Linked DNA regions of Callithrix jacchus. The protein of the gene in region 1 purifies or fractionates together with the protein of each later gene. This does not show direct contact. Links are inferred from orthologs where the notes say so. Each region holds a gene or a part of one and is shown in the gene's direction. Other genes may lie near its edges. The genes, in order: SUDS3, RBBP4, SIN3B, SAP130 and HDAC1.

Region 1 (6,577 bases):
TTAGTACAGACAGGGTTTCACCGTGTTGGCCAGGGTAGTCTCGATCTCTTGACTCCGTGATCCACCCACCTTGGCCTCCCAAAGTGCTGGCATTACACGCGTGAGCCACTGTACCCAGCCTTTCCTTACTCTTAAACCCCAAAGTCAGTTTATGGACTTTAGAATTTAGTTTGTTATGAATAAATTGTTTCGTTTCAGAAATACATTTTGATCCTAAGTTTTGTCAGATATATAGAGGCCTTGGTTCTCAGAGAACCCTCTATTGTTAACTTTTTTTTTAGGTGAATTCTCGCTATGTCACCCAGCCTGGAGTGCAGTGGCGCAGACTTGGCTCGCTTCAACCCATGCCTTCTGAGTTTGAGCAATTCTCCTGCCTCAGCCTCCTGAGTAACTGGGATTACAGGTGTGTGCCACCATGTCTGGCTAATTTTTGTATTTTTACTAGAGACGTGGTTTCACCATGTTGGCCAGGCTGGTCTTGAACACCTGATCTCAAGTGATCCATCCACCTCAGCCTCCCAAAGTGCTGGGATTACAGGTGTGAGCCACCTTGCCCTGCCGATTGTTAACTTTTTAACTCTAGCTGACAAAATGTGTTTGTGTTCTAAACAGTATACATGTTTCTACTGGTGTTTAAAAATCATATCCCATTCATCACCTGAGGTCACGAGTTCGGGACCAGCCTGGCCAACATGGTGAAACCCTGTCTCTATTAAAAATACAAAAATTAGCCTGGTATGGTGGTGCACGCCTGTAATCCCAGCTACTTGAGAGGCTGAGGCAGGAGAATCGCTTGAACCTGGGGGGCGGAGGTTGCAGTGAGCTGAGATTGGGCCACTTCACTCCAGCCTGGGTGATAGAGCAAAACAACGTCTCAAAAAATAAAAAAAATAAATCATACCTCATTCCAATTGTGATACTCCCCTTTAAAGTTTCAGTTTGGGTGTTAGGGTAGGCAGAGAAGGCCTAGAAGCAAAGAAGTTGTGGAAATGGAGCTGGCATGACTTCAAGTCAAGTCGAGTTCTGAAGGAGGTGTTTCCTGAGTGGTGTGGCTGAGTACCATTTTGAGAAGGGATATAGAAAAAGATTTCGAGGTGGTAAAACATGGTTTTGTACTTGATTTTTACAGGATTATAGCGACTGTCCAAAATCATATTAAACAACTCTATAAGGTTGGGTAAGACTAAAGCCATTAAGAGAATTTTTTTGAGTAGGTCCACCTTCACTAAAGAGCATTTTTGAGTTCTGCAGCTGGCAATCTGGATTTAAAAAATGGGGTAAGTTTTCATCACCCAAGTGCTCAGTTGAGTCTATTCATTACAATAAAAAAGAAATGCATCACCATTGATGCTGTTTGCAGTCAAGAAGATAGAAATAAAACAAGCATGATAAAAATCTCAGCGTCTTGAAACCATTTAGCAATGAAATAAACTTTAAAATTATATAAATGAACTCTGATTTCTAAAATCTTTGCTTTTTCTGCACTATGATTATTCTCCAGACAGGCACGAAAGTTACTCAATATATTTGATTGCAAATAATTTAGATGTGACCCAACAGCACAAAGAAAGAAAATGACTTCATCTTTTGGACAGGAGACAGTTCTGAAATCCTAAGTTTAAATATAGATGGCAGACCTACGGTGAGATCTGAGAGTGACTCTTATTTAGAAGGCGCTTCAGAAGATCTTGGAACTCCTGGAAAGACATCTTAGGATTCCATTCTGGAAATTCTTTAGTTTTGCTGGGAGAAAAAAATCCCTTACAAATAGAGCCAATATTTTAATTAAAACAAGGTAGTAAGTAAATGTCAAAATAAATGGGATGAGAATAACGTTTCATTTTTAGAAGAGTCCATGGAGGCCAATTCAGAGATAAATTTGATCACAAAAGGTCTGAGAATGGGAATATTTTGGTTCCACCCTATTTTTCACATCTGTGTTCATTTTCACTATCGGTTGCGTTTCCTATGGAGACTCAGATGGAACATAAAAGTGGGGCTACTTTGGAGAAACCATTAAAAAAACTTTTTTTTTTTTCTCGCTGCACACAACTAGACCACACTGCTCTTAAAGGGACACCTTAAATCTATCTATTCGCTCAGCAAAACTTATAACGTGTCCCTCTTCTACTCGGAATCACACAAATTCATTCTTGCAGATACGCAACTCTTTTGTTTTTTAAGCTTTCGCATGGGCCTTACTTAGCCAAATTACATCTGGTAGGCAAATTCTCCCCTTCCTCAGTTGAGAGTTCAGAGCAAGCTGTTGGATTAGGCAAAAACATCTTTAAAAAAATGAATATTCAAGGAAGCTGTATCGTGAAGGGCCTGGGTATTGGAGTCTAAAACGTCAGACTGGACGTTACTATTTTTTTTTAAGGCAAATGACAGTTCATTTCTCTCTTGTAAAACTGGGGGAACATCCTATCGTATAAACCTTACACAAACAGAAAGGATTCCCAAGGACTGAGAAAATGCTGTTTTGCTAACCCCAGGATGGCGTATCATCCGTGTCTTTTAGCCCTTAATAATGCTCCAAATAGTCAGAGGAGGAGCCAGGCTGCATGACCACGCACACTCTGGATGTCTAGGTTTCCCGACCTAATTAGGGGGCAGTTCGCGTAGTTCCACTGCTTAAATTAGAGACCACCTCCACCTGCCAAGGGCCCTTCAAACCCTCCTCCCCTAAGTCGCTAACGATCGCCGCTTTAGTTCTGGCTCCAGACGCCGCCTGGCGGCTGTTTCCGTAAGTCGCCGGCGAGCCTCGGGGTCCTGACCGCTGCTGGGCCTGCCCGAGGATTTGCCTGACTCTAGAGAACCTGCCCCCGCCCCTCCCCCACTATACGTTGAGAATTTTAAGACGGCGATGAAAGGGTTGAGGTTGTGGCGACCGGGGCGTCCAGCGGCTTCTTCACTTTCCCAAGAATGGCGGAGTCAGGCCGTCGTCGGGCAGCTCTCGACCCGGAAGTCGCCCGAGGCGCGAGGCCCCCGTTGCCGAGCGCGGGCGCGGGGGGCGGAGCTCGGTGGAGACGGGGAAGGGGTCGCCGCGGCTCCCGCTCCTCCAGTTGGGGGCTCGGTCGGACGCTGCTAGACAGACGGCGAGTGCCCAGCGCGGGTGGCCGCGGTGTCCCTGGGCCACGCTTAGCCGCGGTCAGAGGCGACATGAGTGCCGCCGGTCTGCTGGCCCCGGCCCCGGCCCCGGCTGGAGCGCCGCCGGCCCCCGAGTACTACCCCGAGGAGGACGAAGAGCTGGAGAGCGCCGAGGACGACGAGCGCAGCTGTCGAGGCCGTGACTCGGACGAAGGTGAGTTCTGCAGCTCGCCGGGCCGTCCGGAGCAGAGGTGGGACCGCTTGGGGAGGGGGTGGGGCTGCTTGGAAGAGGGGCGGGGCGGCCTCCGGGGCCTGGGGCTGCGTGGAGGGGCCGCTGGGAGTTGCGGGGCTCGGGGAAGTTACCCCCATCCATGCTAGATTAACGGGGGAAACCTTGAGTGCGTTACACTCGACTGTGATGGGGAGAAGGGACTTACATGTTGTCACTCTGGGGGTCTCTTTAAGACCCTGTCCTCCCTCCCAGCCGTCTCTGATTGAACCTCAGATCTTCACTAGTGGGAATGGGAAACTCATCTATTGAATGCACCGAGTGTAGTTCACCCCTTTTTTGTGTCTGAGAGCATCAGAGTCCTAAGTTGCCCCTCTCCCCCCCCCGAAATGCGTAAGCTATACTTTAGGTGGTACAGGCTTGAGAACTCAGGTTGGTTAAAAAAGGAAAGGGACCTAGAACCAGCGAGATACAGGTTTGAATTTTGCTCTGTCACTTTACTCGGTTTGTAAACTTACGCTTTGCAGCCTCGATTTACTCAGCTGTAATGGAGCTGTTTAATTCCCACGCTTGCACTGGAAAGCACTTTCTAGGGTCGGTATAAGGATTAAATGACATGCGCATAAATTGCTTGGCCTTGTGCAGTAAATGTTCTCCCCATCTCCCACCCCCCCGAAACAGGTGAGAGAGAGGGATTTGCTTAATGGTACCCAGGTGTTATGTTTTCAGTCGGTGCTCTTTACACTGTCATTACAGCGTCTCGAGTCTTGCTTTTCAAACTGGGCTTTATAATTTGGCAAGTGTGAGGAACACTATTTTGGAGGGATGGAGGAGGAGGAAGATGATGAATTGTGAAAAGTCAAGGGAGAAGAAAGAGGGGATAGAGACCGATATATGAGTCGAATATTCTGGGGCAAAATCGGGCCGTGGAGCAAAAGCTAGACCAGCTGTTTGGAATGGGGCATATGTTTTATTCATCTGAGTCTCTGAGTGCCAAGTAATGTGGCTGGCGGGAACTCAGGGAAGGCCTCTTGACTGAAAGAGAGGAGAAGAGTTTGTGGGGATTTGGATCTGCAGCAGCCTTACAAAAGCTGCAGATACGTGACATATAAAGTTGAAGGAACTGCATTAGGTTTAACTCCATCGGAAGACACTGCTTAGAGAGATTTCGACTGTGAAGCACTTGCACTGCATCGCATGCCCACGAGGGGGAGAAGCGGAACCAAAATTGAGTTTTTTCCTTTCTGCTATAGGGGCTATTGAAATTTTGTAGACACTCCAGCCATTAGCTTGTTTTAAGAACAACGTTTAAGATGTTTTGAAACAGTTTTTGTTTGATCATCTGGACGCCTTCTTTTTCCCTTGTCACTTGGAAAATATTTCAATTATTTGTGACAGATTCCCCTTTTTTATTGTATAGTTGGTTCTCCATGTCTGTGGTTTCTGCATCTGTGAATTGAACCAAGTGCAGCTCAAAAATATTCAGGAAAAAAAGCTGGATCTGTACTGAACATGTGCAGATTTTTTCTGTTATTCCTAAACACTATACATTTTATTAGATATTGTAGGTAATCTTTTTTTTTTTGAGATGGAGTCTCTGTCACCCAGGCTGGAGTGCAGTGTCGCGATCTCAGCTCACTGAAACCTCCGTCTCCTGGGTTCAAGCAGTTCTCCTGCTTCAGCCTCCCAAGTAGCTGGGATTACAGGCACCTGCCACACATCTGGCTAATTTGTTTTGTTTGTTTGTTTTCGAGATGGAGTTTCGCTCTTGTTGCTCAGGCTGGAAGCTGCCATCTCAGCTCACTGCAGTCTCCACCTCCCAGGTTCAAGCGATTCTCTTGCCTCAGCTTCCCGAGTAGCTGGCATTACAGGCGTGCACCACCACGCCCAGCTGATTTTTTGTCTCTTAAGAAGAGACAGGGTTTTTTCATGTTGATCAGGCTGGTCTCAAACTCCCGACATTAGATGATCTACCTGCCTCTGCCTCCCAAAGTGTTGGGATTACAGGCGTAAGCCACCGTGCCTGGCTCTAAATTTTGTGTTTTTAGTAGAGACAGGGTTTCGCCATGTTGGCCAGGCTGGTCTCGAACTCTTGGCCTCAAGTGATCCTGCTTTGGCCTTCTAAAGTGCTGGAATTACAGGCATTAAAGGCAAGCTTTTTGCGTAAATCTGACCATAAGTTGGAAATGGCTTTTTCTTTTCTGAAATACGGCTGTCCCTCGGTATCCATGGGGGATTGGTTCCAGGACTTTATGGATACCACATCTGAGGATGCTCAAATTCTTTGCATTGCCCTTCTGTGTCCACAGGTTTCACATCTGCAGATAGGGATGGCGAACTAACTGTATGTGATGTTTTTCATTGATGGCTTTTTGTAGGCCTGCATTGAACATAAATTGATTTTACGGGAGTGTATTGAGTGCACGTTCTGTGTCAGGTGACACAAACTCTGTGAATTATGGTTTTAACTAGTCTCTCTTTCCTAACTTTATTCAGACACTGAGGATGCTAGTGAAACTGACCTGGCAAAGCATGATGAAGAAGACTATGTAGAAATGAAGGAACAGTGAGTATGATTTTTCTGGATCTTTTCTGGAACAGAGTGGACAAAGTCTTCATATGGGTTGAGCATCCGAAATCTGAAATCTCAAATGCTTCAAAATCCAGAACTTTCTGAGTACCAGCATGATGCTCAAAGGAAATGCTCATTGCACTGTTTCGGATTTCAGATTTTTGGATTTGGGGTGCTCAGCTGGTAAGTACATTGCAAATCCAAAATTTGAAAAAATCCAAAATACTTCTGTTCCTAAGCATTTTAGATAAGGGATACTTAATCTGCAGTGACCTTACCTGTATGGTTTTGACCAAAGCGCTTTCAAAGACCTTGTGTATTTGCAGTTCTCCATTTTAAGTTAATTACATTTAATCGGTCTTCACGTTATAAGACTCTGTTGAGTACCCTCTAGAAAAAATCTTGAGGGAAACAGACACAGGGGAGGGAATGGTGTCGTACAACAGGAGAGGACCTTTTACCACTTACTCCTTTATTTTATTTTATTTTATTTTTTGAGATGGAGTCTTGCTGTGGTACCAGGCTGGAGTGCAGTGGAATGATCTCTGCTCCCTGCAACCTTTGCCTCACAAGTTCAAGCCATTCTCCTGCCTCAAACTCCTGAGTAGCTGGGATTACACGTGTGTGTCACCACACCCAGCTAATTTTTGTATTTTTAGTAGAGACAGGATTTCACCATACTGGTC
Region 2 (6,045 bases), on another chromosome or scaffold:
AAATAAAAATAAAAAAAATAGAAAGACTAGCTAGGTTTAGAAAGCAAGAATTAAATACTTAATTCCCCAAGGCTGAAATCTGTACTATCATCTTAGTTTTTTGCTTTAGCAAATCCAGATAATGAGAATTGTTTCTTTGAGATGGAGGCTCTTGTTCCCAGGCTGGAGTGTAGGGACATGATCTCAGCTCACTGTAACCTCTGCCTCCTGGGTTCAAGCAATTAACCTGCCCAAGTAGCTGCCCAGCTATTCAGGAGGCTGAGGCAGGAGAATTGCCTGAACCCAGGAGGCAGAGGTTGCGGTGAGCCAAGATCGCGCCATTGCACTCCAGCCTGGGTAACAAGAGCGAAACTCCGTCTCAAAAAAAAAAAAAAAAAAAAAGACAGGACCTTGTTCTGTGGTCCAGACTGGGTTGCAGTGACACAATTAGAGTTCCCTGCAGCCTTGACCTCCTAGGCCAAGGGATCCCCCTGCCTTAGCCTCTGGAATAGTTGGGACTACAGGCACACACTACCATGCCTGGCTAAATTTTGAAAAAAATGTTTGCTGTGTTGCCCAGACAGTTCTTTAACTTCTGGGCTTTAATGATCCTTCCACTTTGACCTCCCCAAGTGCTGGGATTACAAGTATGAGCCACAGTGCCTGGCCCTATTTTTGTGTTTTAAGATGAGGGTTACAAATTACAAGCAAGCAGCTCTGATGCAGTGTTTACTTTGTGTGTTCTTTTTCTGGTGTTTATTCATATCCATTTCCCCCTTAAAAAAAAAAAAAAAGAAAAACTACAATTGTAGTTCTGTAGCGTTGTCCTCTCCTTCATTCTTCCTGTTCTTTTTCTAGCCTTCTATATGCAGGTAATTCCAATTTGCTGTTCATATCCCTCTTTTCATTTCTCTTTTTTTTTTTTTCATTTCTCTTTAAATTTATTTCACGGATCATAGGAAACAATCACTTCTGTTTTTTCAGTGTATGGTAGATGTTCTCAAAGCTTTGCTTGTCACATCTGTGCAGAATTCCTGTTGGTATCTTTAGACCTAACTTCTCCAGAGCTTTTCCTGATTTTTCTTCTGCTTGCTATTGTCTTCCCTGATGTATCTTACTGGCTTCCCCAATTAGACATATTGTAAATGAAATAATTCCTTCCATGAAGAGCTTACCCCAACTTTCTCTTCATATTGTTCCTATTTCTTTTTATCCTAATTGGCATTTGTTTTCCATTTTCTCTTTCTCCATTTTACAGGCAGTCAATTTATAAAGCTCAATGAATTCTGCTTGTGTAGCGTCTTTGCCATCTCTACCAGGGGTTCTCAAAATTTTATATGCATCATAATCAGTTGGCAGTATTGTGAAACATAGTTGTGCTCCGCCTTCTAGAGTTTCTGATTCAATGGGTCTGGAGTAGATGGGAGAATTAGCATTTCTAATAAGTTCCCAGATGGTGTGGATGCCCTTGGCCCAGTATGGAGTACAGAATGTCTTAAGATTGCATTCAGGACACTAAAAAGTAAGTTTTAATCGGCTTTCTCTCCCGGTGTGCTTTCCCATATCAAAAGTCAGATTGGGACTTCAGTATGCTTCTGTTACTTAGTAGCTGTGTGATCTTAGGCAAATTTTTTAATTTTCTCTTTCTCTCTTTTCTTTCTCTGTCACCCAGCCTGTAGTACAGTGGCACGATGTCCGCTCACTGCAACCTCTGCCTTCTGGGTTCAAGCCATTCTTATGCCTTGGCCTCCTGAGTAGCTGGGATTAGCCAGCTGAGGATTTTTAAAGGACAAAACTCATGTCTTAATCATCTTTGTACTTCCATAGCATTTGGAGCAATGTGTCTGTTGATTAGGTATTTAGTAAATACCTGAAAAATTGGTTTGCTTAATCTAATTTTCTCTTTTTCCTTTTTTCATTTTTTTCTTTGGATTTTCTTTACACCCTTTCCCCTTTTTTCCTTTTTAATGAAAGTTTTAGTAAACAAAATCATTAGCATACCCAACAATGGTTTTCTTAACCTCTAACCTATTGTAGTGAGTGAGTAGTTAATTCATATTTTATTCCATTAAACGTTTTACTTTTTCTCCAGAATAATTAAGTAGAAAATAAGGCCAGGCATGGTGGCTCTTGCCTGTAAACCCTGCACCTTGGGAGGCTGAGGTCAGTGGATCACTTGAGGCCAAGTGTGGCAGGTGCCTGTAGTCCCAGTTACTTGGGAGGCTGAGGCTGAGAACAGCTTGAACCCAAGAGCTGGAGGTTGCAGTGAGCCAAGATTGCACCACTCCATTCCAGCCCCGGGCGAAAAGTCCTGGTTGTAATAGTCCCTTTTACATAACATGTATATTGTTGACTTTGTGTTTTCTTGATGTTACTAATTTGAATAATGACTGTATATTGCTGTTACAGACCAGAAGGGAAAGATTTCAGCATTCATCGACTTGTGCTGGGAACACACACATCGGATGAACAAAACCATCTTGTGATAGCCAGTGTGCAACTCCCTAATGATGATGCTCAGTTTGATGCATCACACTACGACAGTGAGAAAGGAGGTAGGAATCTTAAAGGTGAAGGAAGTAAACATGTATGGGTCATATCTTTCATGTCTTTGAATTGTAAAAGTTATATATTTAGTTTGATAAAGTAATCTCCAACTTTAGAAATAATATTTAAGCTTGGGGGAAAGCCCGAGTTTGCAGTGGTAGAGTTGTAGATGTCAGAAGAAATACTTAACACATCCTTGGTTCTATACCTTTGCAATGAACTTTTCTCATCTGATGCTGGCGGAGGAAATTTCTATAATTGAAAGAAGCAAAAATATATATTATTGCTGTACATTAATTGGTAGTGTTTTTTGTTTGTCTGTTTTTTGTTCCTGAGATGGAGCCTCGCTCTGTCATCCTGACTTGTATGCAATGGCACGATCTCGGCTCACTGCAACCGCCATCTCCTAGGTTCAAGCAATTCTTTTAGTTCAGTGTCCCAAGTAGCTGGGATTATAAGTGCCCACGAACACGCCTGGCTCATTTTTGTTATTTTTAGTACAGATGGGGTTTCAGCATGTTGGTCAGGCTAGTCTCAAACTTGGGTGAGCCACTGCACCATCTTTATTTTATTTTATTTTTTAGAGTCTTGCTCTGTTTCCCGGGTTGGAGTGCAGTGGTGTGATCTCAGCTCACTGCAACCTCTGCCTCCCAGGTTTAAGCAATTCTTCTGCCTCAGCCTCCTGAGTAGCTGGGACTACAGAGGCCCGCCACCATGCTTGTGGTGTATTTTTGTATTTTTAGTAGAGATGGGGTTTCACCAAGTTGGAGAAGGTTGGTTTCGGAATTCCTGACCTCAGGTGATCCACTCTCCTCAGCCTCCCAAAGTGCTGATATTACAGATGTGAGTCACCACACCTAGCCATATTGCTGTACGGTTTTTTTTTTTTGTTTTTGAGACAGAGTTCCGCTCTTGTTACCCAGGCTGGAGTGCAATGGCACGATCTCGGCTCACCGCAACCTCCGCCTCCTGGGTTCAAGCAGTTCTCCTGCCTCAGCCTCCCGAGTAGCTGGGACTACAGGCGCACACCACCATGCCCAGCTAATTTTTGTATTTTTAGTAGAGACGGGGTTTCACTATGTTGACCAGGATGGTCTCAATCTCTTGACCTCGGCCTCCCAAAGTGCTGGGATTATAGATGTGAGCCACTGCGCCTAGCCTGCTGTACATTCTTAACATGGGAGATACTACCCCTAACGAGGTGAAAATTGGTTTGTGTATGTGTGAGAGTACATGTAAATCTTACTGGTTGATTGTGTAAAGCACAGATATGCACAGAGTACCTAGGATATCCATGGTATTTCATGGGCCAGGGCTAGTTCTTAAAACCCTTCTTAAAGGAGCATTAATAAAAAAAGAAAACGTTTGGAAACATTAACATAAATTACCCTTTCTAGGTTTAAAGTGGTAGAAATGACTTAACCATGGCACGTCCTATGTGTATAAAAATTTAACCTACAGGCTGGGCATAGTGGCTGACATCTGTAATCCCAGACGCCAATTACAGGCATGCGCCACCATGCCCGGCCAATATTTGTATTTTTAGGAGAGACGAGGTTTCACCATGTTGGTCAGGCTGGTCTCAAACTCCTGACCTCATGATTTGCCTACCTTGGACTCCCAAAGTGCTAGGATTACAGGCTTGAGCCACCACGCCCAGCCCAACATATATATATATATTTTTTTTTCTTTCAAAAGAGGTAGAAGTTGGTGAGTTTCCTTTATCCTTAAACCAAAGTATTGTCAAAAAATAGAAGATGGGCTCCCATTATTGGGGTTCTCCTGATTAGCAGAATTCATTTTTAAATCAAAATTCTTTTGGTTTATAGTTATTTGCCAGGATTGTAATTGTGCAGTTTAGTCTTTGGTCATTCCACATTTAGCTTAGTGTGATGCAGAATGCCAAATAAGTTCTTACAAAGGTCAGCAAACATGATTTTTGTGTCACTGACCCAAATGTGACCCGAGTGATTTCTGGAAAGTTATTCTCTATATAGCGATCTGTGATGTGGGCTGGGAAAGAGAACACTGAACTTCTTTAGAACCTGTCGTACCACTAGTTTTTTGGGTTTTTTTGTTTTTTGAGATGGAATCTGGCTCTGTCATCCAGGCGAGAGTGCAGTGGAGCGATCTCGGCTGACTGCAACCTCCGCCTCCTAGGTTCAGGAGATTGTCCTGCGTCAGCTTCCATAGCAGCTGGGAACTACAGGCATGCACCCCTATGTCCGTCTAATTTTTTGTATTTTTAGTAGAGGTGGGGTTTTATCATGTTAGGCTGGTCTTGGAATTCCTGACCTGAAATGATTCACCCACCTTGGCCTCCCAAAGTGCTGAAATTACAGGCATGAGCCACTGTGCCCAGCCCAGAGTTGTACCATTATTAGCTTTGTGGTTTTGGGTGAATCATTTAGCCTCCCTGAGCCCAGTTTCAGTTCTGTTAAATGAGGATAAATTGTCTTCAAATTTTTTTGTTCTTGGTGTTAATTAGGCACAAATACTCCGATTGATAGTGTGATAAATTGTAAAAGTATATATGTGTGTATAAACATATTTTATGTGTGTACACACACACAGAGTAAAAAAACACACCCCTTCTCTCTTATAAACATTTGCCCAGCCAGGTGTGATGCTACAGGCTTGTAATTCCAGCATTTTGGGAGGCCAAGGTGGGTAGATCACTTGAGGTCAGGAGTCGGAGACTAGCCTGGTCACCATGGTGAAACCCTGTCTCTACTAAAAATTAGCTAGGCATGGTGGCACGCACCTGTAATCCCAGCTACTCAGGAGGCTGAGGTGGGAGAATCACTTGAACCCAGAAGGCAGAGGTTGCAGTGAACCAAGATCCCACCATTGCACTTTAGCCTGGGCAAAAAAAAAAAAAACCTTTCCCCTGGAGATCACTTAAATGGATGTATTGTAATATATTCTGATGGTTATATAGTAGACCATAATTAATCATTCCTTTTTAATTGACATTTAGATGGTTTCTAATTTTTTTTTTTTGAGACAGAGTTTCGATCTTGTTACTCAGGCTGGAGTGCAATGGCGCGATCTCGGCTCACCGCAGCCTCTGCCTCCTGGGTTCAGGCAATTCTCCTGCCTCAGCCTCCTGAGTAGCTGGGATTATAGGCACGGGCCACCATGCCCCGCTAATTTTTTTTTGTATTTTTAGTAGAGACGGGGTTTCACCTGTGTTGACCAGGATGGTCTCAATCTCTTGACCTCATGATCCACTCGCCTCGGCCTCCCAAAGTGCTGGGATTACAGGCGTGAGCCACCGTGACCAGTCCTGGTTTCTAATTTTTTTACTTCAAAAGCATAGTTTTGCTATAGAAATGCTTTATAAGTAGAATGTTGGATCAAAGGGCAGGACCATTTCTGAATATAATTGATACTACTAAGTTGTACTCCAAAAAAAAAGATTCACATTCCCACAACAGCATATGTATTTATGTCTGTTTCTCCATGCCCTTGCCAACGTTGGACTTAATAGGGTTCATTCTCAGTTTACGTTGCTTT
Region 3 (6,045 bases), on another chromosome or scaffold:
CCCAGAAGGAGTAATATCTCATCTGACCTCACTTCTGAACCTGACTCTGCTGCAGCATTATTCTAATTTTACCAGTGGGGAAACTGAGGCACAAGAGTTTACACTTGGCCAGGGCTGGTCAGAGTGGGCCAGAGCTCTGAGTTGTCAGGTCCGAGGCTTTCACTGCACATCCTCACTGCAAACTCACGAGGCCTGAGTCACAGAACCAAGGCTAGCAGGTCCCACAGGTTGCCAGGAGCTGGGTTGTTAGCAGCCATGCCTTCAGAGCCTGAGGTGGGAAGCTTGGCAGGGTGCTGGACATGGTGGCAGCCAGCTGTCGGGAAGGTCCTTGGGCGCTCTGAGAAGGTGGCTGGGGAGGGGTGGTGCTCCCTGGGCAGTGCCCAGATCACAGTGGGAGCTGCATTGTCAGCCTCGTGCCCACCTGAGTAGGGGCATCACCTCACCCAATTCGGTTTCTTCTTGCTGTCACTGCACAATGAGTGGTAGCTCCTCCTTTTGCAATGCAGAAACAGAAGCCACAGGAACCGGGCTGCTGGCCTGAGGCCTCTCCCACAGCCTGTGGGACTGTGGAGACCCCCTTCTCTTCCACCTCCCTCCCTATGGGCTGCCCTCGCCGCAGGCCCACCCCACAGCCACTCTGGCTTCCTCACTAGCCCTCCGCGGATCCTCAACCCTGAGACCCTGCCTACGTTCTGTGAGTCTGTGGCATCTGCAAAGTGTAGGTGATGAAGTGGCTCTGGAAATCCACTGATGCAACCCCAAGTTCTTCAGACCCCCATTCCATCATGCAGTTTACAAAGCACAGTTACGGACCACAGACATGGGGACCCTGCTTCAGAGGGGACTGTAAAGGAATTTTGAAAGTGTTTATGGCATAAATGAGACCTGGGGGACTTAGGAAGCAGTCAGAGGCCAGAGGCCCCACTGAATAGCCCAGAGCGGAGCTGAGTGTGCAGACTCCTAGGAACCAGCCCAGTGTGCTTGGCCTCTACGCTGCCCTGCAGGGGAGGAGGAAGGGAAGCCTCAGGCTGCTGGAAGACCCAGTGCTGCCCTCGGGAGCTCCCCGCCGGCAGAGACAGCATCCACACTCACTTTCCTTAAGAGCCCCGGTGCGTCTGCCTCCCTGCCTGGTGCTGAGGGGTTGGGACCGCCCAGCACAGTGGCGTGGCAGGCTGGAGGAAGGAGTGATTGTCTTCCGCTGTGAGGGAATGAAAGTCACGATTTGGATAAAGACCAAGGGGAGAGGTGAGCCTGAGGGAGGGGTAAGCCTGGGATGGGGTTTTCCAGGGAGTGAGAGCAGATGGGCATGTGCAAAGGCCCTGCACATGCAGGAGGAGCTCGACGCCCCGAACATTGCAGGAAGGAGCTTGAGGGCTGTAAGGCCAAAGGTGCTTCGGAGGGGTGCGCCAGGGCCCGGCATCTTCTGAGCAGCCTGGGGACCATTAGTCAGGGCGACCTTGCTCCTGTTGGCCAAACTGCCCAGGACCTGGTGAGGAGAGCGGTTGGAGCAGGGTGGTGGGAGGGCTGGTGGAAGGATGGTGGTAGCGAGCACATGCAGGGGATGGCAGGTGACAGCGTTGGAGACGGGCTTGGTGACGATGGGCGTGTGGGGCTTCAGATGTGAGAGTTGCATACCTCCCGGGGAGTAGATGGAGGGCAGAGGCTTGAGGTCAAGGCTCACTCTGCACCTCCTTGACCTCATCAACAGCGTGGTATGGGCAGCCATGGTCAGGCTGGAATCAGGCGCTGCCGTTCTTGTCAGTAGTAGGAGGTCTGCCTTAGAGGCTTCTCCGTGCTGAGCCATGGGGCCCTGATCTGTCTTGGAGTCGGGCTGAGTGACAGACCCAGGCTTGATGCTGCCAGACCCCCTCTGACCTCTCCCCTCCCGTCTCAGAATCCTCTCCTTTGCCTGGCGTCCCTGCTTTTGGAGAGGGGATCAGGAGCACATGGCACTGCACAAGAGACTGAGGCAAGCGCCCCGCGCCCCCAGGCCCTGCTGCCTCACTGACGCTGCTCACCCACCCCTCTCTGGGCAGCGCTCATCCACCTTGGTGGCCTATCTCACAGCAACTCACGAAGGGCATGGGGGTCCTCTGGGTGCTGGGTGGCTTCCTGCCTAATGGCCATCCTGTCCCCCACAGCACCAGGAGCAGCACTCGGAGGCCCGCAGTGCCCCCTCCAGTGAGCCACACCTTATCTTCGTGTACGAGGACCGGCAGATCCTGGAGGACGCAGCAGCACTCATCAGCTACTACGTGAAGCGGCAGCCGGCCATCCAGAAGGAGGACCAGGGCACCATCCACCAGCTGTTGCACCAGTTCGTGCCCAGCCTCTTCTTCTCCCAGCAGCTGGACCTGGGCGCTTCCGAGGAGTCAGCCGACGAGGACCGGGACAGCTCCCAAGGGCAGAGCACAGAACCCAGCGAACGGAAGAAGCCAGCGCCAGGACCGCATAGCAGCCCCCCGGAGGAGAAGGGGGCCTTCGGGGATTCCCCGGCCGCCGAGCAGCCGCCCCCGCCACCCCCACCTCTGCACAAGGCCCTGGATGATGTCTATAGCCTCTTCTTCGCCAACAACAACTGGTACTTCTTCCTGCGCCTGCACCAGACCCTGTGCTCCAGGCTGCTGAAGATCTACCGCCAGGCACAGAAGCAGCTCCTGGAGTATCGGACCGAGAAGGAGCGGGAGAAGCTGCTCTGCGAGGGCCGCAGGGAAAAGGGCAGCGACCCCGCCATGGAGCTGCGGCTGAAGCAGCCCAGTAAGGATCCAGGGCCTCCTGGAAGGCCCTGGGGGTGCCTGGGGTTTGGGATCACAGCTCATCATCCCACACGTCCTGTTTCTTTCTGGCTTTTCATTTTAAGAATTCTGTGATTTCAAATGGGAAATTGCAAACAGGAAGCTGCCAGCATCAGACAGGTCTTGTGAACCCCTTGCCCAGGCTCCTATCCTGGGTTTAGCACCCTTTCCTTACCAGGAAAGCTGTGTGTCTCACAGCCCTTCCCGTAGAGCCGTCACAGCCAAGCTCCACAGCACATTTTTTTTTCTGAGATGGATTCTTGATATGTTTCCCAAGCTGGAGTACAGTAGCATGCTCTCGGCTCACTGTAACCTCACCTCCCAGGTTCAAGCGATTCTCCTGCCTCAGCCTCCATAGTAGCTGGAATTACAGGCATGTGCCAGCACACCCAGCCAATTTTTTGTATTTTTAATAGAGACAGGATTTCACATGTTGGCCAGGCTGGTCTCGAAGCCCTAACCTCAGGTGATTCACCTGCCTTGGCCTTCCAAAGTGCTGGGATTACAGGCATGAGGTACCGTGCCTGGCCTCCACAGCACTTTCACTGCCATCCCTGGGTTGCCAGTCAGATTAGGCAGCCTCAGGAAGGGTGGCGGTGAACACGTTACTCGGGTTTCCTGCTGATGCCCAGCCTGGCCCCAGGGGTCATGGGTGAAGGTTGCTGGGCCCCAGGGGGGCATTTGTTGGGGTGCTGTGGTGTCACAGCTTGGTCTGTATGGCTTCTCGCCCCCCTGGGAGGCATGTGGATAAAACCATGTGTCTCCACAGGTGAAGTGGAGCTGGAGGAGTACTACCCAGCCTTCCTGGACATGGTACGGAGCCTGCTGGAGGGCAGCATCGACCCCACGCAGTACGAGGACACCCTGCGTGAGATGTTCACCATCCATGCCTATGTGGGCTTCACCATGGACAAGCTGGTACAGAACATCGCGCGGCAGGTGAGCCGGGGCGGGGCCGACACTCAGGACGCTGCACATGGCCCTGCCATGTCATTTCACTCCCTTGCCGGGAGGGGGCCCGTGGTCAACAGTAAACCTGTCCTGATTTCTTGAGACAAAATTCTCATAACGTAAAATGAACCATTTTGAAGTGTCCAGTTTGGTAACATTTAGTACATTCACAATATTGTGCAGTCTCCACCTCTGTCTAGTTCCAGAACATCTCATCTTTCCCGGAGGAGACCCAGTCCCCAGTAGCAGCCACTCCCCTTTCCCCCACCCCGAGCCCCGACATCCAGTGATCTGCTTCCTGCCTCGCGGTTTCCTGCGCACTGCGTTCATTCCTTTCTATGGCTCTGTGATACTCTGTTGCATGGCTGGCTGCGTTTCGTTTCTCCATCTCTTGGTGACCATCTGGCCTATGGCTGCCTGCAGAGACGGTGAACAGTGCTGCTCTGAACATTTGTGTGCAAGTTCTTCTGAGTCCCTGTTGACAAACTTTTGAGGGTAAATGGACAACATGGAAAAACCTTAACGCACTTATCCTGGGCGAGGGTGGGAATAGCGCTGCTCACCAGCGTTGGCTTTAGCAGTAGCAAAAACCAGCCCCTGCTGAATGTCACCACAAGGAAACCAGTCACCTGGATAGAAACAGCAGACGTCCCAGGCGAGCTGGGTGTCGTTCCAGGACATGGGTCCTGCTTGGTTTCTGCCAGCAGCATTGTTCGTGGTGACTTCTGTTTCCTGGTCACCAAGTAAGGCTGTTCATCATAAAGCGGGAAAAAAGCTGGAAAAAAACTAATGCCATTACTCTCCCACTTAGACACAGTCACGAGAAGCATTTCACACAAGATGCTTCCTTCCCGGTTTTAAAGACTGCTTATGGAACTAAAAATCACACGCAGAAAAGTCCCCAAATCTGAAGGGGGCAGATGGATGGGCTTTCATCAACAGAACCCCTGCCCCTGTGTCCCTACCCAGCCACCTGCCACCTGTGGACACCAATAACCCTAATTTTTTTTTTTTTGAGACGGAGTCTTGCTCTGTTGCTAGACAGTGCAGTGGTGCAGTCTCAGCTCACAGCAACCTCCACCTCCTTGGTTCAAGCGATGCTCTTGCCTCAGCCTCCTAAGTAGCTGGGATTACAGGCGTGTGCCACCACGCTTGGCTAATTTTTGTGGTTTTAGTAGAGATGGGATTTTGCCATGTTGGCCAGGCTGGTTTTGAACTGACCTCAGATGATCCTCCTGCCTTGGCCTCCCAAAGTGCTGGGATTACAGGCATGAGCCACCACGCCGGGCATCACAACCCTGATTTCTGCACAGAGGTAGATCCCTGGTCTTGAAGCACACAGTGCCCAGCTGCATCCTGGGAGTATCATTCGATGAGATTCCTGTGTTGAGATGAACTGGCCAAGGATTCCCAGGAATGATCCCCGTTCTGTCTCTGGCCACAGGACTTAGAGAAACCCACAGCTGCGTCCTGATACCTTCGCTTCAGCCCCCTCCACTTTCCCTCTGTGTGCCCATCACCATCCACAGCAGTGGCCACTTCCGGGTGAGGGAGATGCACACGGAGCAGCCTGGAGAGAGGACACCCAGGGCCCAGCACATGGTGTCAGGGCAGCAGTGCAGGGATGCCAGAGGGCTGGCACTCTGTCCCCCAGGCTGGGCACCCCTGATGGGCCACGGGTTCAGGGACAGCAGCTTTGCTGTGGCACCAGGAGATTGGACCAGATGGTTTATGGAAAGCATTGATCTAGAATGCTTTGAAAAATCCTCCCCTTCCATAAACCTCTTCTCTAGAACCTGTTAAAAAGCAATGAAAATCGCTGGCTGTCTAGATCTGTCGTCAGGGCCTCACGCTGCCCTGCTGTCCCATCTGTGGCCACACCACAACCCAGGTGCTCACTGCAGGCCCCACCACACTGTTCGTAACCTGCCTTGGGACCATGTCTGGACTCTGCCTCACTTTTTCTTAAAAATCAGCATTGCTGTGTTTTTAGCAGTAGCAACTGACATTCAGTGGGTACCTGCTGTGTGCCAGTTACTGTCTGAAACCTGTGCCTGCCCAGGTGTGATTGTATCCATTCAAGAAAGCTGCACGTGGAACCTGCAGGGAGTGTGGTCCTGCCCAGGGCCCAGGCTGTGCAGGCGGGCTCACACCAGCCCTGTCTGCCCCACAGCCCCTGCTGTCTCCATTACTTTCTCCTTCAGCGCAAAGGTAAAAGGAGTGGCAGGGTGTTTATAGCCAAGCATTTGGGGGAAAGGAATGGCCTACACTGACACCCCCTTCACGTCATTCCTTGGTT
Region 4 (6,045 bases), on another chromosome or scaffold:
ATCCCTGCAGTGGAATGCTACTTGGCAAAAAAAAAAAAGATCAGACTACCAATACTCACAACATTATGGATAAACCTCAGAAATATTACACTAAGGAAAGAATCCAGATACATAGGACTATAGATGATGTAATTCTATGATATGAAATTCCAGAAAAGACTACACCATAGTGACAGAAAGCACATCAGTGGTTTCTAGGGAATAGAGGTGGGAGGGAGGGAATTGACTACAAAGGGGTATGAATGAACTTGTTGGAGTAACAGGAAATGATCTGTATCATGATTGTGTTATACCACTGTATACTTTTGTGAACATTTATCTAATGTTACACAAAGAGTTAGCGAATTTTATATGTAAGTCGTACCTCAGTAAAGCTAATTAATTAAAATGGACGAAAGATAAACGCACTTCACTAAAGAAGATATATATGAATGGGCTGTGATCACATAAAAAGATGTTGAACATTACTAGTCATCACGGAAATGCTAAATAAAACTACAGTGAGACACGTACCACAACCCACTAGAATGGCTTTATATCAAACATGAGTAAGGAAGAGGAGCAGCTAGAACTCTTGTGTACTGCTAATGGGAACAGACAGTGCTACAACTGCTTTGGAAAGTACTTTGGCAAAGTTAAAAATGTGCTTAACCATTTTACCCAACCATTCTGCTCTATGGTGTTACTGAGGATATTCATAAAAATATTACTGAACTTTTCTTGTAAAACAGTGATGTTACTCTTTGTAATCTATTCCTCAGTAAAAAGGTTTTTATTTTTGAGGTGGAATTTCACTCTTGTTACCCAGGCTGGAGTGCAATGGCACAATCTCAGCTCACTGCAACTTCCTCCCCACCCCCAGGTTCAAGTGATTCTCCTGCCTTAGCCTCCCTAATAGCTGGGATTACAGGTGCCTCCCACCACACCCAACTAATTTTTTGTGTCTTTAGTAGAGACAGGGTTTCACTATGTTGGCCAGGCTGGTCTCAAACTCCTGACCTCAGGTGAGGCACCCACCTCAGCCTCCCAAAGTGCTGGGATTGCAGGTGTGAGCCACCATGCCCAGCGATAAAGAGGTTTTAATCACCTGGGAGAAAAGTTAATATATAGCAAAAAAGAAAATGTATATCAGTCTTTTCATCTAGCACTTGTACTTTTAGAAATTTTTTTCCTGAAGAGATCACTAGACAAGGTTGTTGCTAAAAGCAAAAATTTGGAAATAACCTAAAAGACCATTAATGATACAGTGATTTTTAAAAGCTGTTGTACAACTATACAGTAGTTTCTCATTTTACCTTTTTTTTTCCTATTTTTGAGAGGAGAGTCTTGCTCTTTCTCCCAGACTGGAGTGCTATGGCACAATCTCGGCTCACTGTAACCCCTGCCTCCCAGGTTCAAGTGATTCTTCCGCCTCAGCCTTCCGAGCAGGTGGGATTATAGGCACCAGACATCATGCCTGGCTAATTTTTGTATTTTTGTAGAGACAGGCAGAGCTAGTCTTGAACTCCTGCCCTCAGGTGATCTGCCTGCCTCAGCCTCCAAAGTGCTGGGATAATAGGCGTGAGCCACTGCGCCTGGCTCCATTTCACCTTGTGAATGATGCAGTATTCTCTACTCAGTAGTTCCACTCCTAGGCATATATTGCGTAGAAATGGTACATAGGTTCATCAAAAGACATGTACAAGAATATTATTAGCATTATTCAAAATAGGAAAAAAATGAAAACTATTTAAAATGTCTCTTAAGAGTAAAATGGATAATTTGTACATTACTCACATGTAGTACTATATACAGCATTGAGAATGAAAGAGCTACAGCTGTGTACACTAATGTGGATGAATTACATACCTGTCAGTGAAAGAGGCAAAGTACAGTTGAGTGTATTTGTTATGAGTCTGTTTATATAAAGTTCAAAAACAAGACAGTACTAATCTATAGTGTTACAAGTTAGGAGATTGGTTTCCTTGGGAGGACAGTAACTAGAATAGGGCCAAACAAAGGATCTCTGGGGGACTAATAATGTTTTCTATCTTGAGCTGGGTGCTATTTACTTAGGTATATTCAGTTTATGAAATTCCAACTTTCATATGAAAGTGCACAACTAACATTTGTGTACTTACCTTTATGAAGATCATAGTTTAAGGAAAAAATTCAAATGAATAAAAACCCACCCAGAATTTAAAAGAGGAGGGAACTGTTGCCAGAACTTTTAAGTGTTGGTGCCTTTGTGGGGTAAGCCTGGGGGCAACTTTACTTTCTTTATGGTATTTCAAATAATTTAAATTCTCTGCATAAGTAAATGCTCAGAAAAAAAGAATGTTAATATTATTTTGGAAAAATTATAGAAAAGTATGAGTTAATATTTTCACAAGGTCTTCCTTTATTACTTTATTATTCATTCTCTGATTTTTTTTCCACTTAATTTTTTTTGACTCAGAGTCTTGCTCTTGTCCCCCAGGCTGGAGGGCAGTGGCAGGATCTCCCAACCTCCGCCTCCTAGGCTCAAGCGATTCTTATGCCTCAACTTCCCGATTATCTGGGATGACAGGTGTGCACCACCACACCTGGCTATTTTTTGTATTATTAGTAGAGACAACATGGTTTCTCCATGTTGTCCAGGCTGGCCTCAAACTCCTAGCCTCAACTGGTCTCCCTGCCTTAGCCCACCAAAGTGCTGGGATTACAGGTGTGAGCCACCGTACCTAGCATCCACTTAATTTTTAAATACATAAGTAATACTTATGTAATAAATAAGTAAATACTTATGTATTTAAAAATTACTTAATTTAATTTTTAAATAGGCCAGGTGCAGTGGCTTACACCTGTAATCCCAGCACTTGGGAGGCCAGAGGCAGGAGGAACACTTATCTCAGGAATTCAAGACCATAGTGGGCAACATAGTAAAACTCCGCTCTTTGTAAAAAAAAAATGTAAAAATTAGCCAGGCGTGGTGGCATGTGCCTGTAGTCTTAGCTGCCTGGGCAGCTGAAGCAGAGGACCACTTGAGTCCAGGAGTTTGAAGCTGTAGTGAGCTGATATTCTACCACTGTTCCAGCCTGGGAGACAGAGCAAGACCCTGTCTCAAAAAAATGATTAAAAAGAAAAAATTTAAAAATTTTTAAATAGATATACGTCTTCTGGTAATCCAAAACTCCGAAAGAAAAAGAGCATACAGTGAAAAATATCTCTCCTTTTTCCCTCAGTTTTGAAAAATTACATGTTCTTAAAGTTAGAAATTGTATTCAAAATATCTTTTCTTTTTTTCTTTTTTTGAGACAGAGTCTCGCTCTGTTGCCCAGGCTGGAGTGCAGTGACACAATCTCAGCTCACTGCAACCTCTGTCTCTCAGGTTCAAGCAGTTCTCCTGTGTCCACTTCCCGCGTAGCTTAGATTACAGGCGTGTACCACCACGTCTGACTAATTTCTTTGTATTTTTCATAAAGACAGGGTTTCACCATATTGGTCAGGCTGGTCTGGAACTCCTGACCTCAAATGATCCACCCGCCTTGGCTTCCTAAAGTGCTAGGATTACAAGTGTGAGCTGCTGTGCCCAGCCCCCTACCACCTTTTCTTTTTTTTTTTTTTTTTGAAACAGAGTCTCACTGTTTCACCCAAGCTGGAGTGCAGGTAACACAATCATGGCTTGGTTCACTGCAGCCTTGACCTCCCAAGGTTAAGTGATCCTTCTCCCTATGCCTCCAAAGTAGATGGAATTACAGGTACGTGCCACCATGCACATTTAATTTTTGAATATTTTACAGAGACGGAGTCTTGCTGTATTGCCAAGGATGGTCTTGAACTCGTGGGTTCAAGGGATCTGCCTGCCTTGGCCTCTCAAAGTGTTAGGATTGTAGGTGTAAGCCACTGCACCAGCCATATATTTTAAAATTTTTTATTTTTAGACAGAGTCTTCCTCTGTCGCCCAGGCTAGAGTGTAATGACGCAATCTTGGCTCACTGCAACCTCCGCCTTTTGGGCTCAGGCGATCCTCCCACCTCAGCCTCCTAAGTAGATGGGATTACAAAAAAAGTGGGTTTTTGGGTTTTTTTTTTTTGGTATTTTTAGTAGAGATGGGGTTTTGTCATTTTGGCCAGCATAAAATATCTTTTTAATGTCAGGCTTCTATAACATTTTAAGAAGATGTTTTAAATGAAATTGTCATATCCTGTATTGTACTTTTAACTATTTCAGCTCATTTTAGCTAACTTTCAGTTAGTTTATTTGTAAGGGTATGAAAGCTACAATATCCAGAATAAATTCTATATTACACAATTGTGGCTTTTGTGTCTATAGTCCATCAGGAGAATCCAGTGCCCAAATTGGCCTTGTTAAGAAAATATCACAAGGAAATGGTCACATTGTCAATCCTGAGATTTAACTTTAGGTGCCACTCTGGTCTGTGCTGCAATCTTACTTTGGGAGACTGTGACATACTGTCTCACTCTTAATGTCTTTACTAGTCAATGATGAATCTGGTCGAGATTCTGAAGTCAGTGCCAGGGAGCACATGAGTTCTAGCAGCTCCCTCCAGTCCCGGGAAGAGAAGCAAGAGCCTGTTGTGGTAAGGCCCTATCCACAGGTGCAGATGTTGTCCACACACCATGCTGTTGCATCAGCCACACCTGTTGCGGTGACAGCCCCGCCAGCACACCTGACGCCAGCAGTGCCACTTTCATTTTCGGAGGGACTCATGAAGGTAATGGAGAGGGTTAAAACTTCATACTGAACCAGAGCTAAAGACTGGCTAATGTTTGTAACAATTTGCCCAAAATCTTAGGCTGTATCTTAGGATCATATTTCATATTTTCTTTAGGGCCTGTGAGTTCAGCTTTTCTCTGTCGCCTAGCCCTGATTTTCTGCAGTGCCTTGTCTTGTGCTGCTGAGCAGTTGGCATCACAGGATCTTTGCTGTTACCATTTTGATACTGATATTGATATTATTCAACTTACTGGCATGTTAAGTTAGATAAAATCTTGGAGAGGGACCTTCTTTTTTTTTTTTAAGCCAGTCAGATTCCGCAGTGGGAGCTTAATGACTCTAATGTTTTTCGTTTTGTTTTTGAGACGGAGTCTTTCTCTGTCATCCAGGCTAGAGTGCAGTGATGTGATCTCAGCTCACTAACCTCCACTGCCTGGGTTCAAGTAGTTCTCTTGCCTCAGCCTCCCAAGTAACTGGGATTGCAGGTGGGTGCCACTGTGCCCAGCTAATTTTTGTATTTTTAGTAGAGACAGTATTTCACCATGTTGGCCAGGCTCGTCTTGAACTCCTGGCCTCAAGTGATCTGCCCGCCTTGGCCTCCCAGAGTGCTGGGATTACAGGCGTGAGCCATTGTGTCCAGATGACACTAATGTTAATGAGTTATGATAACCCAGTACCATGGGGCCAACTGGAGTGGCACTCTTCTTTAATGTTTGTTTTAATAACTGGTTGATTTGGGGGTTTCTGAGAATATTGCCTATGCATTACCTTGGAGTTATGTTTCAGTTACTGGGAGTTTTGTTTAATCCACCCAAACTTGGGAGGCAACATCATGTAGAAGAAAGGGTGTGGGCTGTGAGCCATGCAACTCTGGGCTTTATTCCCAGTTCTACTTAACTGTGTGCATGGCTTTAAACGAGTTAGTTAGCCTTGCTTTGTATGTTTCTTCATTCGTGAAATAAAAATGCTAGTACTTCAATGGAAGCACTGTGATACAAATAGATAAAATGTGTAAAGCTTGTAGCATCTTTCCTGCCACTCTCCACATTTGATTTGTGTACTCTTAATGTGGATTGAAACGCATTACCAGTATGAGGCCATTGATATGTTTTGTGTGGTTTTCTCTTTGCAGCCACCCCCGAAGCCCACCATGCCTAGCCGTCCCATTGCTCCTGCTCCACCTTCTACCCTGTCACTTCCCCCCAAGGTTCCAGGGCAGGTTACCGTTACCATGGAGAGTAGCATCCCTCAAGCTTCAGCCATTCCTGTGGCAACAATCAGTGGACAACAGGTTTTTCTTCCTTTTAATTTGCTGATTTTCAAACTGAAATGCCAAACTGTTGATCA
Region 5 (6,045 bases), on another chromosome or scaffold:
AATTAGCTGGGCATGGCGGTGCATACCTGTAGTCCCAGCTACTTGGGCGGCTGAGGCAGGAGAATTGCTTGAACCCAGAAGGCAGAGGCTGTGGTGAGCCAAGATCGTGCCATTGCACTCCAGTCTGGCAGTCTGGGTAACAAGAGTGAAACTCCGTCTCAAAAAAAAAAAAAAGTTTAAAAAGTCTAAAATGTCCTTCTGGTTCAGTCCCAGCCCAGGTTCAATCTCTGACATGGTACTGACAGGTGTCCTTGACTGTCCTCTCCTGCTAAAATATCTTATATACAGGAGTTCTCTGCAGAATCTCCTGGGGTTATTGAGATGCTGTACATAAAAGCAATTTGTGAACTGCAAAGTGCTATAAAAACGGAAGTGTCATCATCTGTGAATCTGTCCTATGAAAAAGTATGGTAATTACCTTTAGAGGTCAGAAATACTCCCCACATATCTCCCACTTCCATTTGCAACTTTTGGGTTATCTGTAGGATTATGATAAACCCTTTCTTAACAAATATTTATTTCCCTGTGATCCCCCCCCAATATAATCATTGTGTATACCCCCACTGCCCCACCAGTATAATCACAGAAAACAAAGAAAAATTGCACAGAAAAAAGCATAGTCACCCACAGTCACAGGGTTGGTGGATAACTTCTGTTACCATTTTGGTGTTTGTACGGTCATTCTTTTTTGTGTGTGTATATATCTGTGTAACACATAGAAACATGTATATATTATAAAAATGAGTTATATACATATCACAAATACATGGTTTTATGCCTGCATTTCCTACTTAACGAAATTGTCTATAGTTTTCTACAGCTTGCTTTCTTGTGGCTCTATGATTATTCCATGTTGTAGATCTACTTGAGTTGATATAATCTCTCCCTCTTCGTGATCATTTGGATCAATCTATGCTTGTATTGCTGTTAAAATTAACACAGCAGCTGGACATGGTGGCTCATGCCTGTAATTCCAGTGCTTTGGGAGGTGGAGGCGGGTGGATCACCTGCGGTCAGGAGTTTGAGACCAGCCTGGTCAACATGGTGAAACCCTGTATTTACTAAAAATAGAAAAATTGTTGGGCATGGTGGCTCATGCCTGTAATCCCATAACTTTGGGAGGCCAAGGCAGGCGGATCATGAGGTCAGGAGTTTGAGATCAGCTTGACTAACATGGTGATACCCCGTGTCTACTAAAAAATACAAAAATTAGCCGGGTATGATGGCACACACCTTTAATCCCAGCCACTCAGGAGGCTGAGGCAGAAGAATTGCTTGAACCCAGGAGGTGGAGGTTGCAGTGAGCCGAGATCACACTATTGCACTCCAGCCGAGCCACAAAGCGAGACTGTTGTCTAAAAAAAAAAAAAAAAAAAATAGCCAGGTGTGGTGCCACATGCCTCTAATCCCAGCTACTTGGTAAACTGAGGCAGGAGAATCACTTGAACCTGGGAGACAGAGGTTGCAGTGAGCCGAGATTGCACTATTGCACTCCAATGCACTTGCACACATGAGTGTGTATTTCTCTTTTACTTCTTCTTGGACCTATCTGTGGTAATGCTGTTTGACCCAGTGTCCTGGCACTGTCTTTGGTATTTTTTCTTTTTCTTTTTTTGAGATGACGTCTTCCTCTGTCATCCAGGTTGGAGTGCAGTGATGCAGTCTTGGCTCACTGCAACCTCTTCCTCCTGGGTTCAAGTGATTCTCCTGCCTCAGCCTCCCTGAGTATCTGGGACTACAGTGGCATGCCACCACGCCCAGTTAATTTTTTTGTATTTTTAGTAGAGACGAGGTTTTATCATGTTGGCCAGGCTGGTCTCAAACTCTTGACCTCAGATGATCTGCTTGCCTCAGCCTCCCAAAGTGCTGGAATGCCACTATGCCCAGCCTATCTTTGGTATTTTTTGAAGTTCCTTGACCATAAGCCACAGTAAGAAATAAACTTACACATGCAATCCAGGATACGTATAACACATAGGCGTGCATGTACACAGTCCCTTACTCTGAAGCCAGAGTTTTACCAACGAGCAGTTACCTTTACTGTTACCCTGATTTTTTTTTTTTAGATGGAGTCTTGCTCTTGTTGCCCATGCTGGAGTGCAATGGCGCAATCTCGGCTCACCACAACCTCTGCCTCCTGGGTTCAAGTGATTCTCCTGCCTCAGCCTCCTGAGTAGCTGGGATTATAGGTGCCCACCAACACGCCCGGCTAATTTTTTGTATTTTTAGTAGAGACGGGGTTTTACTATGTTGGTCAGGCTAGTCACGAATTCCTGACCTCAGGCGATCTACCTGCCTCGGTCTCCCAAAGTGCTGGGATTACAGGCATGAGCCACCGCGCCTGGCCTACCCTGCTATTTTTATTCTACAGTATTTCATTAAAAATATGACTAATAAGTCATGACCCACTAAATCAGCTTTAAGTCTTGCTAATGGGTTACTTTTTTTTTTTTTGGAGACAGAGTTTCGCTCTTGTTACCCAGGCTGGAGTGCAATGGCGCAATCTCGGTTCACCACAACCTCCGCCTCCTGGGTTCAGGCAATTCTCCTGCCTCAGCCTCCTGAGTAGCTGGGATTACAGGCACACACCACCATGCCCAGCTAAGTTTTTGTATTTTTAGTAGAGACGGGGTTTCACCATGTTGACCAGCATGGTCTCGATCTCTTGACCTCGTGATCCACCCGCCTCAGCCTCCCAAAGTGCTGGGATTACAGGCTTGAGCTACCGCGCCCGGCTGCTAATGGGTTACTACCATCAGTTTGGAAAATAGTTTTTTAAGAGTAACCAATATCAGGCCGGGCGCAGTGGCTCACGCCTGTAATCCCAGCACTTTGGGAGGCTGAGGCGGGTGGATCACGAGGTCAAGAGATGGAGACCATCCTGGTCAACATGGTGAAACCCCGTCTCTCCTAAAAATACAAAAAATTAGCTGGGCATGGTGGCGCGTGCCTGTAATCCCAGCTACTCAGGAGGCTGAGGCAGGAGAATTGCCTGAACCCAGGAGGCGGAGGTTGCGGTGAGCCGAGATCGCGCCATTGCACTCTAGCCTGGGTAACAAGAGCGAAACTCCGTCTCAAAAAAGAAGAGTAACCAGTATCATGTTTATTTCCTGCTGGAGTAGAATGGGAGGGAGGGGACTGATTTATTAATATAGCTGTTGATTAGGCAGGTCCTACCTCTCACTGGGTTCCCTGGGCTACCTGGAGGAAGGGGAGAGTGGCTTAGTAACGGGCTTATGTTCTCTCTTTCCATGCCTAGCAAGTGCTGTGAAACTTAATAAGCAGCAGACGGACATCGCTGTGAATTGGGCTGGGGGCCTGCACCATGCAAAGAAGTCCGAGGCATCTGGCTTCTGTTACGTCAATGATATTGTCTTGGCCATCCTGGAACTGCTAAAGTATGCCTGCCTGGCCTTGTCTCTTGGAGGAGCACCTTAGGCCAGGTTCCCATTTCCCTCTCCCCTGGGCTTGCCTCCCTAGTTTGCTTTCTACCAATGTGCTGGCTAGGATGTGATTGGTGAGTGTCTCTGGCCATCACCTCCTTAACGGGGTCTTGGTTTGATCTGAGCCACGGCATGATCAGGGGCAGGTACTGCTCAGATCCTGCCTCCAGAGTGTCCCTGTGTGGCTGGAGTTGACCCTGGCTGTAGAGTAGGAAGATTGGACTTGGTCGGCTTGGTCAGGCCTCTGGAGACACCCGGCCGCTCTTCCACCTTCCTTCAGCCAGTTTCCACGTCTCTGGTGCTTAGAGATACCTGAGGGAGGCAGCCAGCCCGGTAAGCTGGGACCTGGCGCCCTTGGCGCGTCCCATCCCCAAAGAGCCCCCAGACCCCTGACCCCCTTCTGATCCTAGGTATCACCAGAGGGTGCTGTATATTGACATTGATATTCACCATGGCGACGGTGTGGAAGAGGCCTTCTATACTACAGACCGGGTCATGACTGTGTCCTTTCATAAGTATGGAGAGTACTTCCCAGGAACTGGGGACCTACGGGTGAGAAATCCCTTTAGGAGCCAACCAGCTCACCCTCAGCTGCCAGCTCTACTTCTCTCTCCTATGTCGTGCCACTAAAAACTGCTTCCTGCCTCTTCTGCCATTCACAATACTATGTCCCAGTCTGAGGCACTTGCCCTGATCTCTTTCCCTTCCTTCTTCTGGAGGAAGGGAATGATGGGACATGAAGGGTTAGAGAAAGGAGCGGGGTCTCCTGACTCACTGTACTTCCCTCCTGGCCATGCTAGGTTGCATCACACTATTCTTATGTCTCATAAGGCTTGAGTTTGGGACTAGGAATTAGGACTCTGAAGAACCATCTCAGATGTTCTTAATGTTTTTTTATGTCACTTTCCCCTTTAGCCTTTTGACTGAAAGCTATGGACTCTCTCTCCAGAAAAGTACATGCAATTTTACATCTGATATGGAATAGTTAATAAACAAGTCCCCTTGCTGAAGCCCATCCATGAACCTTAGGATAAGAATCCGTGGAAACTACTTCCTTGAACTGTTCCATCTGCTTCTATTAGCATGAATGCAGTGAAATCAGCTGTTTGCCATGCCCAGTGACCCTTGGGTAAAAAAGTGGCACTAATTCAGTTGTTTGCTATGGCAAGCATTAGAATAAATGAACATTCACTTTTTTTTTTTTTTTTTTGAGACAGAATCTTGCTCTGTTGCTCAGGCTGGAGTACAGCGGTGTGATCTTGGCTCACTGCAGCCTCTGCCTCCCTTCTCCTGGGTACAAGCAATTCTTATGCCTCAGCCTGAGAATAGCTGGGATTATAGGTGCATGCCACTATGCCTGGCTAATTTTTGTAGTTTTAGTAGAGATGGAGTTTTACCATGTTGGCCAGGCTGGTCTTGAACTCCTGACCTCAAGTTATCCACCCACCTTGGCCTCCCAAAGTGCTAGAATTACAGGCACATTCACTATTTCGAGGTTCCTGGGAAGGACTTTCTTCTCTCTCCTTCCCTCCACACCACCCTAGAGAGGGAGCATGGGGGAAGAGGAGTGAGCATTAGGGCTCTCTGGAGTGGAAAGGGTTGTCAGGGGTGGTTGTTACTTCTGTGGCCCACCTGCCAGCCAGCCCTAACCCAATCCCAAGGTAGAAATCTTGTGCCACAGGGTAGGGTATTCAGTCTCTACGCCCATCAGTAGCTCTCAGCCTAGGTGTAGGCTTAATGCTATGTCTAGAGATGTGAGCTAGATTGGTGAGTGAAGAGAATGGTACTCACAAGGTACCCCTGTTCTGTCCTGGCCCACATCATGGGCCTAGCTTATCTCTCTTAGAACCTCTTCCTTTATCCCTCCAGCCTGCATCCCTGACCTTCCTTTAAGCTTCATCCTTTAGTTTTACTTTCATGTCCTTCTTAATTAGGATATCGGGGCTGGCAAAGGCAAGTATTATGCTGTTAACTACCCGCTCCGAGATGGGATTGATGACGAGTCCTATGAGGCCATTTTCAAGCCGGTAAGTGGCTTTATGCACTCCTTGGGCTACAAAAAGGGGATTGGTCTAGGGCAGGGGAGCAGAACACCCCCATGATACCTCAGGAATCTCTCCTTACTAAAGCTGGTGGGGAAATAGAAGTGTTTGAACCCTGGATTGCTGTGTGGTCAGTTAGGGGAACAAACATCCATATTTGATGGTTCCTTCTATGGGTCAGGTCTTCTGCTGGATACAAACATATCTAAGACATGATCTTTGCCCTCATGGACTATGGTGGGAAAGGCAGGCACATATCCAGTAGTCTGTGGTTAGTAGTGTTTTGTGTCTCTGTCTCTCTGGGCTACTGGGAGATGATTGTGTTCTTTTGGTAGTGCTATGTCTCCTTGGTTTTTCATGTTCCTCGTTGCCTTACACTGATGTCTGCACATTTGAAGAAGTAGGGACTTACTCCAGTCTTTGCAGATTGGCTTTATCTGGGAAAGCCCTTCACCAGTCAGCCCATTCAGAGATTGTGGAAAGGCTCTCTGGCCTGTTCCATGGGCAGGCTGGCCTAGTGCCTGTGTTTTTGAGGGATGGTCAGAGGAGTGAGAGATAGA

What was found.
Region 2: the proteins of SUDS3 (region 1) and RBBP4 purify together in Homo sapiens (affinity purification with mass spectrometry; 5 studies listed by BioGRID and IntAct, with this or other methods). This does not show direct contact. The link is inferred for Callithrix jacchus from reciprocal best matches to the Homo sapiens genes SUDS3 and RBBP4.
Region 3: the proteins of SUDS3 (region 1) and SIN3B purify together in Homo sapiens (affinity purification with mass spectrometry; 3 studies listed by BioGRID and IntAct, counting the BioPlex papers as one, with this or other methods). This does not show direct contact. The link is inferred for Callithrix jacchus from reciprocal best matches to the Homo sapiens genes SUDS3 and SIN3B.
Region 4: the proteins of SUDS3 (region 1) and SAP130 purify together in Homo sapiens (affinity purification with western blotting; 3 studies listed by BioGRID, with this or other methods). This does not show direct contact. The link is inferred for Callithrix jacchus from reciprocal best matches to the Homo sapiens genes SUDS3 and SAP130.
Region 5: the proteins of SUDS3 (region 1) and HDAC1 purify together in Homo sapiens (affinity purification with mass spectrometry; 9 studies listed by BioGRID and IntAct, counting the BioPlex papers as one, with this or other methods). This does not show direct contact. The link is inferred for Callithrix jacchus from reciprocal best matches to the Homo sapiens genes SUDS3 and HDAC1.

What each region holds. Positions count from the first base shown.
Region 1 is NC_133510.1:121,432,464-121,439,040, forward strand, and holds the start of SUDS3 (sin3 histone deacetylase corepressor complex component SDS3), read left to right. Parts: upstream 1-3,006; 5' UTR 3,007-3,162; coding exon 3,163-3,304; intron 3,305-5,815; coding exon 5,816-5,885; intron 5,886-6,577.
Region 2 is NC_133508.1:69,245,467-69,251,511, forward strand, and holds part of RBBP4 (histone-binding protein RBBP4), read left to right. Parts: intron 1-2,388; coding exon 2,389-2,534; intron 2,535-6,045. UniProt on the Homo sapiens protein: Core histone-binding subunit that may target chromatin assembly factors, chromatin remodeling factors and histone deacetylases to their histone substrates in a manner that is regulated by nucleosomal DNA.
Region 3 is NC_133523.1:15,479,109-15,485,153, forward strand, and holds part of SIN3B (paired amphipathic helix protein Sin3b), read left to right. Parts: intron 1-1,894; coding exon 1,895-1,969; intron 1,970-2,141; coding exon 2,142-2,757; intron 2,758-3,564; coding exon 3,565-3,734; intron 3,735-6,045.
Region 4 is NC_133507.1:36,385,937-36,391,981, forward strand, and holds part of SAP130 (histone deacetylase complex subunit SAP130), read left to right. Parts: intron 1-4,460; coding exon 4,461-4,696; intron 4,697-5,830; coding exon 5,831-5,989; intron 5,990-6,045. UniProt on the Homo sapiens protein: Acts as a transcriptional repressor. May function in the assembly and/or enzymatic activity of the mSin3A corepressor complex or in mediating interactions between the complex and other regulatory complexes.
Region 5 is NC_133508.1:68,938,946-68,944,990, forward strand, and holds part of HDAC1 (histone deacetylase 1), read left to right. Parts: intron 1-3,259; coding exon 3,260-3,398; intron 3,399-3,853; coding exon 3,854-3,995; intron 3,996-5,377; coding exon 5,378-5,470; intron 5,471-6,045. UniProt on the Homo sapiens protein: Histone deacetylase that catalyzes the deacetylation of lysine residues on the N-terminal part of the core histones (H2A, H2B, H3 and H4).